Ovis aries: one gene and its partners. The protein of the gene in region 1 interacts with the protein of each later gene in a pairwise test. Links are inferred from orthologs where the notes say so. Each region holds a gene or a part of one and is shown in the gene's direction. Other genes may lie near its edges. The genes, in order: FABP3, SHTN1 and NUP62.

Region 1 (4,233 bases):
TCCCTTCCGTTTTGCCTTTTCCTTCGTAAGTGTGTGTCATGTTCCCAGTTGTCTTTCCTGAGCCTAGCCCAGGGCCTGGCACAAAGTAAGTGCTTTAATAACTGTTAGATTAAAAGAAGGAAGGGTTCCTCTAAACCTCAAGTCTGCTCCTCTGTAAAAGGGATAATAATAACACCTACTTCAGGAACTTGGTTTTAAAAGTTCAATCAGACAATGCACTTAAAGCCCCCAGCATGCAAAAAAACAACACAAGGTGGATCTTATTATTAAAAGTGCTTTGGAAAGTGTAGTGTCAAACAAGGTAGATTAACGACAGTCTCTGAAAGTACAGGCTGCCTGTGGAAGGCTGACTGCCGGTGGAAGGTCAGAGAAAGGACGACAGCTGGGGGCCAGCGGCAGTCAGGCAGAACGGAGCTGTCCTTGAGCCTTGAAGAGCCGGCTAAAAGGACGGGCATTTCGAAAGGAGAGTGAGGAGGCAACGGCCGACAGGAGCAAAGGCTCGGAGCTGTTGCGCACAGGTCAGAAAAGCCTGGCGCACGGGCAGGGTGGAGGGGGAGCTGGACAGCTGGGCGGAAAGGCGCGCGGTAGACATTCCGCAGGGAGGGGCGAGCACGTGTGGGGCAGACGCGGGGCGACGGACAGGGTCACGCTTTTGCTGGGGGCGAGCAGAGGGCACACGTTGCCCCCGCTGCCTCTCCCCGCCATCGGGCAGAGTGGGGAGCGGTGGGAGAGCACGGGGTCTGGGACCAGCTAGACCAGGCTCGCCATCTGGACTCCCCATTCACCGTCTCTTTATTTCCTGCGAACTTGTCAGCCCCACGCTGAATCTTGGCTCCCCTCACCTGTAAAATGAAGATCGAGATGATGCCAGCGCCGCCAAGAGTCGGCCAGCGCTTTCCCGGCGTGGGCATCATGCCCAAGGGCGAGTTTCCTTTCTCCTCTGGTTTCTCATCTTTGTTCTGACCCCAAGCTCGGAGAAGGACCAGGGGACGGATGTCGGTGGCCTGCGCCCCAGCTCGCGGACACCGTGCCCCCAACTGCTTCCTTCTCAGATTCCGAAGAGCGCCTTGAGGCCAGGGAAGGGAGCAGGGCTTACCAGCCCGGGGCAGGGACTCGGAGCCCGGGACCCGCGCTGACGTAGGCAAACTGGGCGCCACCGGCTGCCACTTCGCCGCTGGTAGCATTGGGGGATGGGCGACCAGCCCGGGGCGAGAGAGGGCCTGCTTGGGGCTTCCTATTTCGGGCCCGGGGGTGTGGGCCACGCCCCGTCACGTGACACAGGGGCCTTTTAAAGCGGCAGCGCGGGCTGGGAGCTGCTGGTCCCAGCGTCCTTGCACGCGTTCTCTGTCGTCTCTTTCCCGACCTAGCCCAGCTTCACCATGGTGGACGCCTTCGTGGGTACCTGGAAGTTAGTGGACAGCAAGAATTTCGATGACTACATGAAGTCACTCGGTGAGGACGGCTCGGGATGCTGGGCTTGGGATGGATGCTGTGCTGGGGAGGGGCTGGCCGCGTGCCCGATCGGAGCAGTTCTCTAGCCCTGGCTAGATCCTGTATGCCTGCTGCATCCCTCCTGGTCAAGGATGGGGAGCCAGGAGACGCGGAGAAGGTGGCAGCCTGGGCTAGGGCATGCGAGGCCTGTTGGGAGGGGGCTTTTTTTTTTTTTTTTTTTTTGCCTCCCCGCGACACATGTGGGATCTTAGTTCCCCATTCCAGGATGAACGGTTGCCCCGCTGCAGTGGAAGCGCGGAGCCCCAGCCACTGGACCGCCAGGGAATGCTGGGAGGGGACTTTAACGATCTGAACTTGGTCAGAGAAATTCGCAGGCAAGGAGGCGCCAGGGGGCCGCTGTGTCGGTCGATGTCGAGGGGCAGGGAGGCACTTTCGAGGAATTAGGGCTTAGGATCTGGAGGCAGGGGTGTGAGTAAAAGAGGAGCACTGATTGAAGGTGAGGAGGGAGGAAAAGAAACGAAACATGGGCAGTTTAGGAACTGGAAACTGAACCATGAAAGGGAATAGAATGGATGGGAAGTGTCCTAAGGTATAAAGTAGGTAGTCCCCAGGAGAAAGATGGAAGGGGGAACAGCTGTGAACAGGCTTTGAGGAGGTAAGATGAGCCTGCAGAGTTAACAAGAACCTCTGTTCCTCTTTGTTGGGTTAGTTAGGGTAAAGGATTGTTGCTAGAGGTTGCCCTTTCTCACCAACCAGCCTAGTGGTAGGGTAGGGCAAAAGGCCCCATCATCAGCTGCAGCCCAAGGATAACTTGCTCACTGGGAAAAGTATCTGTTTAGGGGGTAAAGCAAAGAGGCCTGAAGCAAAGCCAAGAGCTAGTAACAGCAGGGAGGGTCTTTGGCCTAGGAGGGTGTGGTGCCAGGATGGAGGAGAATGAAGATTCAAAGAATCTTGCAGAGAAGGACTCCAGAGATCCCCATGCCTTGCTTCAACAGATGGAGAAGCCAAGATCCAGAAGAGTAGAAACTTGTCAAATCAATTCCACAGCAGAGCTGATGTGAATACCTAGATTTCTAAATCCCGACAACTCAGAGCAGTTCCCACTATAGGCCCTGGGGGTGGGAGTAATAAGAACTGCTTAATTCATCATTGACCTCAGCCCTTCCCCTTCTGATACGGGCTAGAGGGAGAAGGTCACATTCCTTCTCTGGAATCTCCAACTATGAGATTATCCCAGTTCCCCAAGCTGGGATGGGGAAAACTGGAATGTTCATGGTTGAGGTAGGTTCCATGCCTTCCTCCCAGGGGACAGCTGGATTACAGCAATTAACCAAGGAGGGAGGGGATGGGGGCTCAACCCCAGGCACTTCCCACCTGTTCCTGACCCCTGAAATAAGCACAAGTGTTGACTTTTGAGGCCAAAGTGCTCAACTGCCCCTCTATGCTAAGCACTATGCCCAATGGCTCCAGGAAGGCAATAATTCTTAGAGAAGTAGGAGGCCCAAGGCAGTTGGTAGGGAAGATAGGATGCCCAGAGCTAGCTCCACACCCTGAATCCCCAGTCTCTCCTAGCAGACATTAGAACTGAAGACCTAGGTCCCTGAAGTGAGTTGCACCATCCTTACCACCCTTGCTCCCTTATTTTGCCCCAACTTGGGTTAGGTCTAAGAATCCACCCAGCCTGCTTGTTGTACAGATGGAAAAAAATGAGAGGCCTAAGGGGAGAAAAGACCCTCCTCAGCTCTTAGTAAATAGCTTCAGCTTCATTTCTAAGTGGAATCTGTCTCTTCCCAGGTCTCCTAATTCTGTAACTTGCTCTTAGCTCAGTCCCTCACTGACTCCACAGTGCCTTCCTTCCTCAAACACTCCACACCTCTGGGTAGGTCCTAAGTAAACAGAGCTCCTTGCGCAGTGACAAGGTCCTGCTCTGTGCTGGGGAGTGGGATTAGCCTGACTCACTCTGATAACAGGTGCGTGATCAGTTGTGTCCGACTCTGCGGCCCCATGGACTGTAGCCCACCAGATTCCTCTGTCCTTGGGATTTTCCAGGCAAGAATACTGGAGTGGATTGCCATTTCCTTTTTCAGGGGATCTTCCTGACCCAGGGGTTGAACCTGCATCTCTTGCATCTTCTTCATTAGCAGGCAAATTTTTTGTTTACCATGCGCCACCTGGGAAGCCCCTGATAACAGGGGGCAAGGCCAAATCCCTCAGTGGCTAGGCAGGGTGGGCCAGCAGCAGCACAGCTGCCAAGGGTGCCTGAGCCTCTCTTGTTAAACCAAAAGTTCTCGGAGGACGAAGAGGCCCAGCCTAATTAGTGTCAGTGTCAGTTAGTGCCGCCAAGTGGCACACTTGGCGGGCTCAGGACCTCGATGAAGTGCATGCTGGGAGACAGGGTGGCCCAAGAGGAATAGTGCAGTTTTGGAGCCTAAATTCAAATTTAGATAAACCACTCATCCTTTCACTTTGGACAAGTCACTTCACTCTCAAAGCCTCGTTTGTAAATTGGGGATAATAAAGCCAACAGTTCAGGGCTCTTATAAACATTAAGTAAAACCACCCGTGAAGCCAGGCATATCAGGGACTTTCCACCCACCACCTCACCAAAGCCTCTGCCCTTGGAGAATAGCTCAGCAGAGACTGTTGGAAGGGGAAGTTGGAGGCAAAAGGCCAGCTATGAGGGAAACCATGACCTGCAGGGCTCTTTGTTGCACGCTCTCTTGCAGCATTGGGGAAGCCTTGCTGAGGCCGAGGGGAGTCCCCACAGGAGACCTAGACTGG
Region 2 (3,649 bases), on another chromosome or scaffold:
ACATTTGAATCACCTGGGAAACCCTGAAGAAGTACTATGCTGGACTCTATTGCCAGAGATTTTTGGCCTGGTGGGAGGGCCTGCTTCCTCAGGTCAAATATGGGAAGTTTTTTTTTGTTTTTTTTTAAACTCTACAGATTGTAATGTGCTGGGCTGGGAACCATTTGTTTATTAGGAGGCAGAATTACAAATTAGCTCTTGAGTTTTTCCACTCTTTTCTTAAATTATTCTTTTTTCCCTGCATTCTGAAAAGATATCATCCTTTGAGAATTGACAGTGATCCTTGAGCCTCTAGTGCCGTGCTCTAGCATCGATGTTCAAAGAAGCCACGACAGTGCTTACTTGAATTGTCCATCTGAAGGAGGAGGGACTGGGAAATCGTAGGTCTCTGATCATATTTCTGATCCTCTCCTGTGATATGGAGAGCTAGAAGCTGGAGCTATATCTGGGGACTGGGAGTAAAAGTCTGTGCCTGATTCTTTGAATGGATCTCGCCAGCCTTCCCAGGAAGAATCCAGGAAAGAGTTCATAGCCATTCCTGAGTGATCCTTCCTGATTCCCCAGAGAGGTCAGGGACCCTCTTGTGTTCCAGCCCTTGCTAGTGATATGGGCTGGGCTTTCTCTGAGAGAAATCCTGAGGGGTCCTAATCATGATGACAAATGAAGGACCAAAGCCAGACAAGTGCCATACTAAACATCTTATTCTGGTGTAAGGTTTACATGGAGAAGGGCCTTTAGTGTTCTGGTGAAATATTTCTATTTGTATTTATATTCAGTGTCAGTTATTAAATTCAGAACTTGTTTTGATGGCCAACAGCCCTTACTAACTGCAAGCACATTACTGTATCTTACATTTTATACTAGAGAAAGCAATCTACTAAACACTTCCTACTTAAATAAGAAGATCTTTCATATTTGAGTCTTGGGAATAAAGCAAAATCATATTTTCCTTCAGTGGACTTTGGATCAGGTTTAGTCTTTATGTGTGCTTTGTATAACATTTATACGCACATGAATACAGGAGCTAAAGAAGGTAATGATAATTAACAACCAACTCATTTTTTTACATAAAGGGCGTGCTAAATACATCAGTGAATTAGGTTTGCTTTATCTGCAATGACATAGAGATAATAGAAACATAGCTTGAACTTTCTTCTGTTGTGTATCATTAGAATTCTAGGAATAGACAGAAACATGATTTGAATTAGTTTAAGCAAGAAAAGGGGGAAAAAAGTAGGAGTTTGTTCAGAGCGATATTGGAGAATCCCATAGAATCCATGAGCTGGTCGCATTTTAGGAATAGACTGGAACCCTGTGGGAAACCCAGTGTCTGTTGCTTTTCTCTGTCTCTGCACAGTGGCTCCATTTTGGCCTTGCTGCAGACTGCCTTTCTCTATTCCTCAGTTGAGTCGTGTGGTGTGGTTGCCAGTAGCTACTGTACATCCAGACACATGGACAGGAGTTCCTGTCCAGGAGAACAGGAATTGCTTTGGGAGAACTTGGCTGTTCCAGAAATTGTGTGGAACATGAAGAGGCCAGTGGCAGTGTCTCAAAAACAGGGAGTGTGGGACAAACACATAAAAGGTGTTCACAGCACAGCATCAAACCAAATAAAGTGTCTTAAATTAGGACTATTAATGACTGGATAAATTGAAATTCGATATAATCTATTCTGGTGTTTTATCTTAATTCTTCTTGTATTTATCCGTTATAACTAGCATTTTCACATGTAAGGCATAGGTCTTAATTAGTTTAATGTTAAAAAGTATAAATAAAATAATCTTTAGTGACTCTTCTGTTTCATGCTGTGAATGTTGATGCATGTGTAGACAGAAAGACACTTAATTTGACTGTTGTATAAAAACCCAAGACACTCATTTGCTATTAAAATAACTGTCTTTATATTTGCCTTAGTTAAATAAAGAAAATAAAGCATTGAAAAGAATCAGCATGTTATACATGGCCAAGCTGGGACCAGATGTAATAACTGAGGAGATTAACATTGATGATGAAGATTCAGCCATGGACCCGGAGGATGTTGCCAAGACTTGTGTCTCAGTACAGTGTCAGAAGCAGATCAAAGGTAGGATTCCTGGCTTAATTATTGAACATGGTTTTGACTTCTATTAGGATAATGCTTCTCAACCCTGGTTGCACATTGAAATTACATAAGGATTTCAATAAATACTGATGCCTGTGTCCTTTTTTGGAAAAAAGTTCTGATTATTTGTCCCCGAGGGTAGTCTGGTTGAGAATCATGATGACTGTAGCTTTATGAGTTACTTTCTTGTTTGGGATTAGATACTTTTGAAAGCGCCATCTTGACAGGAACAGTCAGTTAACCTATACATGTCTTAAGGATAGGACTGTGTGTTAAGATATTTTTGTTAAATGAAAGAAAGAATGAATAAAGATTTATTTGGCCAACACCTTCTGTTAGTCGGATTTCTCTGTTGAAATCTTTGGGGAAGATACCTCCCGAAATTGCTTTGTCTCTGCCCTCTAAGAACTTCTCCTAAGATTCAGGCAATGAACTAGAAGCAATATGTAGTATTAAGCAACTGTGTTGGTCCCCAAATGATTCTATAAGACAAAACCACATAATACATCTGTGAAGTACACATTAACTCTTTTAATAAATAAACACACACATATAGTTTAGGATGTAGGAAAACAGTCTAGGGCTTGGTAATTATTGGAGCATTTTAACTTACTGTATATGTCAAGAATAATATTTGTTGGTCTGATAGATAAAACTTCAGTTGGAAATATAAAGAAGAAAGTAAAAAGAAAGCCATTTTAACCCTGTGTGTGCTCAATTGCTAAGCCGTATTCAACTCTTTGTGATGCCATGGACTGACCACAGCCCACCAGGCTCCTCTATCCATGGGCTTTCCCAGGAAAGAATACTGGAGTGTGTTGCCATTTCCTCTTCCAGGGGATCTTCCTGATCCTGTAATTGAACCTGCGTTTCCTGCATCTCCTGCCTTGGCAGGGAGATTCCTTAACCACTGAGCCACCTGGGAAGCCCCTGTTACCCTCTCACCTAAGAAAAAATTGTATTTATGTTGGCAGGAATGGGGAGAGGAAGTTTAAAGGCTTTCCTTTTGTTTCTATTTCTCCTTTCTGTTAGATCTTGAATAGTATGGTCTCTGATTCTTTTTCAAGATTAGTCTGGCAGTGGAGAAAGTGGTTTTGAAATAAGTGTCTTGAGAGCCCCTTCATTAATCTGGGTTCATGTAAAAAGTTTGATTTAATTTATTAGTAAATAACCATATAGAGCTTGTCTTATTGTCCTTGGAGAAGGGTAAGAAATTAAAAGCACTTAAAAGCTAAGTGGCAAAACTATGTGGGCCTGGGTATAAATTTAAGTACTGTGCTAGTCCATGTATTTTTTATTTTTTTAACATTTGAGCAGTAGAAGTAACTTTAATATAACACCAGAAGCTTTTGCTCTTATAGTGCCTAATATTTTTACTCTAGTAACACAGTTTTCAGTTAATCTCAATAATATGAAATATGAAATAAATTAAGAAACAAAACACCCACAACTCTGGAGAGAAAATTATTAGAATTAACCCTTTTTCAAATAGGTTATATTTTGAGTCAGTTCAAATAATATTTAAGGGCTATAAATTGGCAGCATGTC
Region 3 (2,832 bases), on another chromosome or scaffold:
CGGAGCCCGAGCCAGCCGCCCCCGGACCACGCTTGTCTCAACCGGGAATGGGTCACATAGCCCAGGGCTCCGCAGGGCAGTGGTAGCCGACCGTGAGTTCACATTAGACTCAAGGCCAGCTACCACCACAGTCTTTTCCTGAGAACATCCCAGCTGGGTTGGATTCACAGACCCTCAGGGCTCCCTCCCTTGCTCCCTGGCTTCCAGAGGTGACAGTGCGGCGTGTGTCTGCATGGGGACCGTGGCCTTGAGCACCGCACCCTCCTGACTTGGCCACGCTCCAGGCCCGCAGCAGCCACTCCACTTTCCTGACGAGGGCGCTGGGTCTCAGGGTCCTCCAGAGTCACGGGGCTCCCCCCCGTACCCATCAGGCACTTTTGCTCCCCAGCTGTCTTCATTTCCTGTACTGCTCTCAACAGATATCACAAACTTAGCGGCTTGAAACGATGCACCTTCATTCTTTTGAAGTTGAGATCAGGGTCCAGAATCGGTCTCACTGGGCTGAAATCAAGGAAGGCTGGTTCCTTTTAGAGACTGCAGGGGAGAGCCGTTTCCTTGGCTTTTCCGGCTTGTAAAGGCCACCTGCACTGCTTGGCCTGTGGCGCCGTCCTCTGTCTCCCAAGTTCAAGGCACGTTACTCCAGCCTCCGCTTCCACCTTCTGGTGGTCTCTTCTCTAGTCCTGTCTCTGCCTCCGCATTTCAAGATCCTTAGTCACGTCTGAGAATTCCTTCTGCCACTTAGGGTCGTTGGCCCCAGGCTCCGGGCGGCGGGGCCTGCGTGTCTTTGGAGGGCCATGTTTGGTCCTGGTGTTGGTGTAACGTCCACGCGCTGGCTCCCCTGCTGCCTTCAGCACAGCCGCTGGGATCCAGCGCCGCCCCACAACCAAGACCAGATGTGGCTGAGTGCCAGCCTGGGGGAGGTGGTGTAATTCACCCCGTCTGTCCCGCTCATATTGTGATTCTAGAACCCGGCTGCACAGGTTCGCTGGTTCTTCAGCGTGGATTTACACTCGAGGATTGTTTTCAGAACCCTAGCTTATCAGTTATGTTTACTGTACAGGCAGGAATGAGCACTTGGAAGCTACTGCAGATTAGCAGGGAGGTCATCCGCGTGTAGTCCTGCATCTCGGTGTATTTCTTTCCAGCCCTCCTTGTTGAGGGTAGCTGTGTTTTTCCATAGCAGAGATCACACTGCTGTAGTGAATCTGTGTTCTGCTCCTCTCTGTTGTCATTCCCAGCGTTTCTTGAGTATAGTTAAGAGGCTGTATCGGTAGGATGCAGAGCTTGCCTTATATCTGATGCCCAGTTGACCCCGTAATTGGTGCCAGCGCTGGACGGGGCGCTTGGTGGATTGGGCCTGTGGCCTGGGCTCAGCTCCTAGTAGATCACCACAGCCCCCTGAGTCCCAGTTTCCTCATCTTGGACGTGGGGACACCATCTCCACCTCCAGACAGCAGTGAGATGTCATTTACGTGAGCAGCCCGCCAGCAGGCAGTGCTTAGCCTGTGATCACTTCCCTGAAAATGCCTCTACCCAGGACGCCCTCCAACTCTTTCTTCTCCAAGTCACCTTTGACTCTGCAGCTACCAGATAGCTTTGCTCAGGGCTTTTTCAGATAAAAAGCGGTCACCTTTCACTGAACAGGGATGTGCTGGCTCCCCGAGCTTCTAATGAAGACCAGGTGGGGTTGCTGAGCAGGACCACGGTTTCTGGCGGCTCTCTCACTCTCTGCCCTTTCCTGCTCTCCTCTCTGCTCTCTCTGGCGGCGCTCACTGTCCCCCGATGCTCATCCTCCGTGCCCTGCACCTGCAGGTGGGGCGGTCTCTTGGCCAGCCTGAGTTTCCACGGCCCCTTGAAACCAGTCCCTGCGGCCAAGCACCAGGTGCTCTGAGCACTGCGCCCGCGTGCTCTCTCTCCTCCTAAACCGGCTCGGGGTGTGCCCAGAGGGAGCCTTTGGCACCCAAGGCCCTGTCGTAACTCAGCTTCCCGGGGCCTGTCTCTGAGGTCCAGAGGGACTCTTGGGGTGGTGCCAAGTCAGCCTGCCCCTCACCCATGTGCAGTCAGCAGGGAGAAAAGCACCTCTTCAGCCTCCCCTGCCACAAGCAGTGGGCCTCCTGCTGGTACTGACTCTGCTAGACCCCCCAGGGCGGGGGCCTTACGTCCTTGCCCATCTTTCCTAGTTCAGCAGGGCCTGGTTAGGTTCCACAGCAGGAAGAGGAGTGGGAGGCCGCTTATCAGACTTGAGGCCTACCTCCCTGCAGACTGAGCTCCATCAGGCCGCTGAGGTGGTTTTTCCAGATGTGCCGTCTGATCATGTCACTTCCTCTGCTTTGCAAATCTTCCCAAGGTTGCAGACACCGGTGGATTTGCTTTGGAGCCGGAGTAGCTGCTGCCCCCAGAGTCTGGAGCCATGAGCGGGTTTAATTTTGGAGGCACTGGGGCCTCCACAGGAGGGTTCACATTTGGCACCACAAAGACCGCAACGACCACGCCTGCCACGGGCTTTTCTTTCTCCACGTCCGGTACTGGTGGGTTTAGCTTTGGGACTCCCTCCCAGTCGGCTGCCAGCACCCCTGCCACCAGCCTGTTCTCACTCAGCACCCAGACTCCCGCCACACAGACCCCGGCCTTCAGCTTCGGGACCACGACGCCTGCAGCAGGAGCCACCGGATTTTCCTTAGGGAGCAACACCCCGAAGCTGAGCCTGGGCAGCACGGCCCCAGCCCCGGCCCAGCCCGGCGGCTTCGGGCTCGGGGGCAGCACGCTCAGCAGTGCCGTCTCCAGCGCCAGCACCAGCACCTCCGCCCAGGGCGCGGCACCCGGCGGCTTTGT

What was found.
Region 2: the proteins of FABP3 (region 1) and SHTN1 interact in binary tests that used the Homo sapiens proteins (3 or more experiments, as listed by UniProt). The two-hybrid records come from large-scale screens. The link is inferred for Ovis aries from reciprocal best matches to the Homo sapiens genes FABP3 and SHTN1.
Region 3: the proteins of FABP3 (region 1) and NUP62 interact in binary tests that used the Homo sapiens proteins (3 or more experiments, as listed by UniProt). The two-hybrid records come from large-scale screens. The link is inferred for Ovis aries from reciprocal best matches to the Homo sapiens genes FABP3 and NUP62.

Annotation. Positions count from the first base shown.
Region 1 is NC_056055.1:236,034,061-236,038,293, forward strand, and holds the start of FABP3 (fatty acid-binding protein, heart), read left to right. Parts: upstream 1-1,315; 5' UTR 1,316-1,379; coding exon 1,380-1,452; exon of another isoform or gene 1,453-4,233. UniProt on the Homo sapiens protein: FABPs are thought to play a role in the intracellular transport of long-chain fatty acids and their acyl-CoA esters.
Region 2 is NC_056075.1:36,865,594-36,869,242, reverse strand, and holds part of SHTN1 (shootin-1), read left to right. Parts: intron 1-1,914; coding exon 1,915-2,083; intron 2,084-3,649. UniProt on the Homo sapiens protein: Involved in the generation of internal asymmetric signals required for neuronal polarization and neurite outgrowth.
Region 3 is NC_056067.1:55,982,578-55,985,409, reverse strand, and holds part of NUP62 (nuclear pore glycoprotein p62), read left to right. Parts: intron 1-2,347; 5' UTR 2,348-2,410; coding exon 2,411-2,832. UniProt on the Homo sapiens protein: Essential component of the nuclear pore complex. The N-terminal is probably involved in nucleocytoplasmic transport.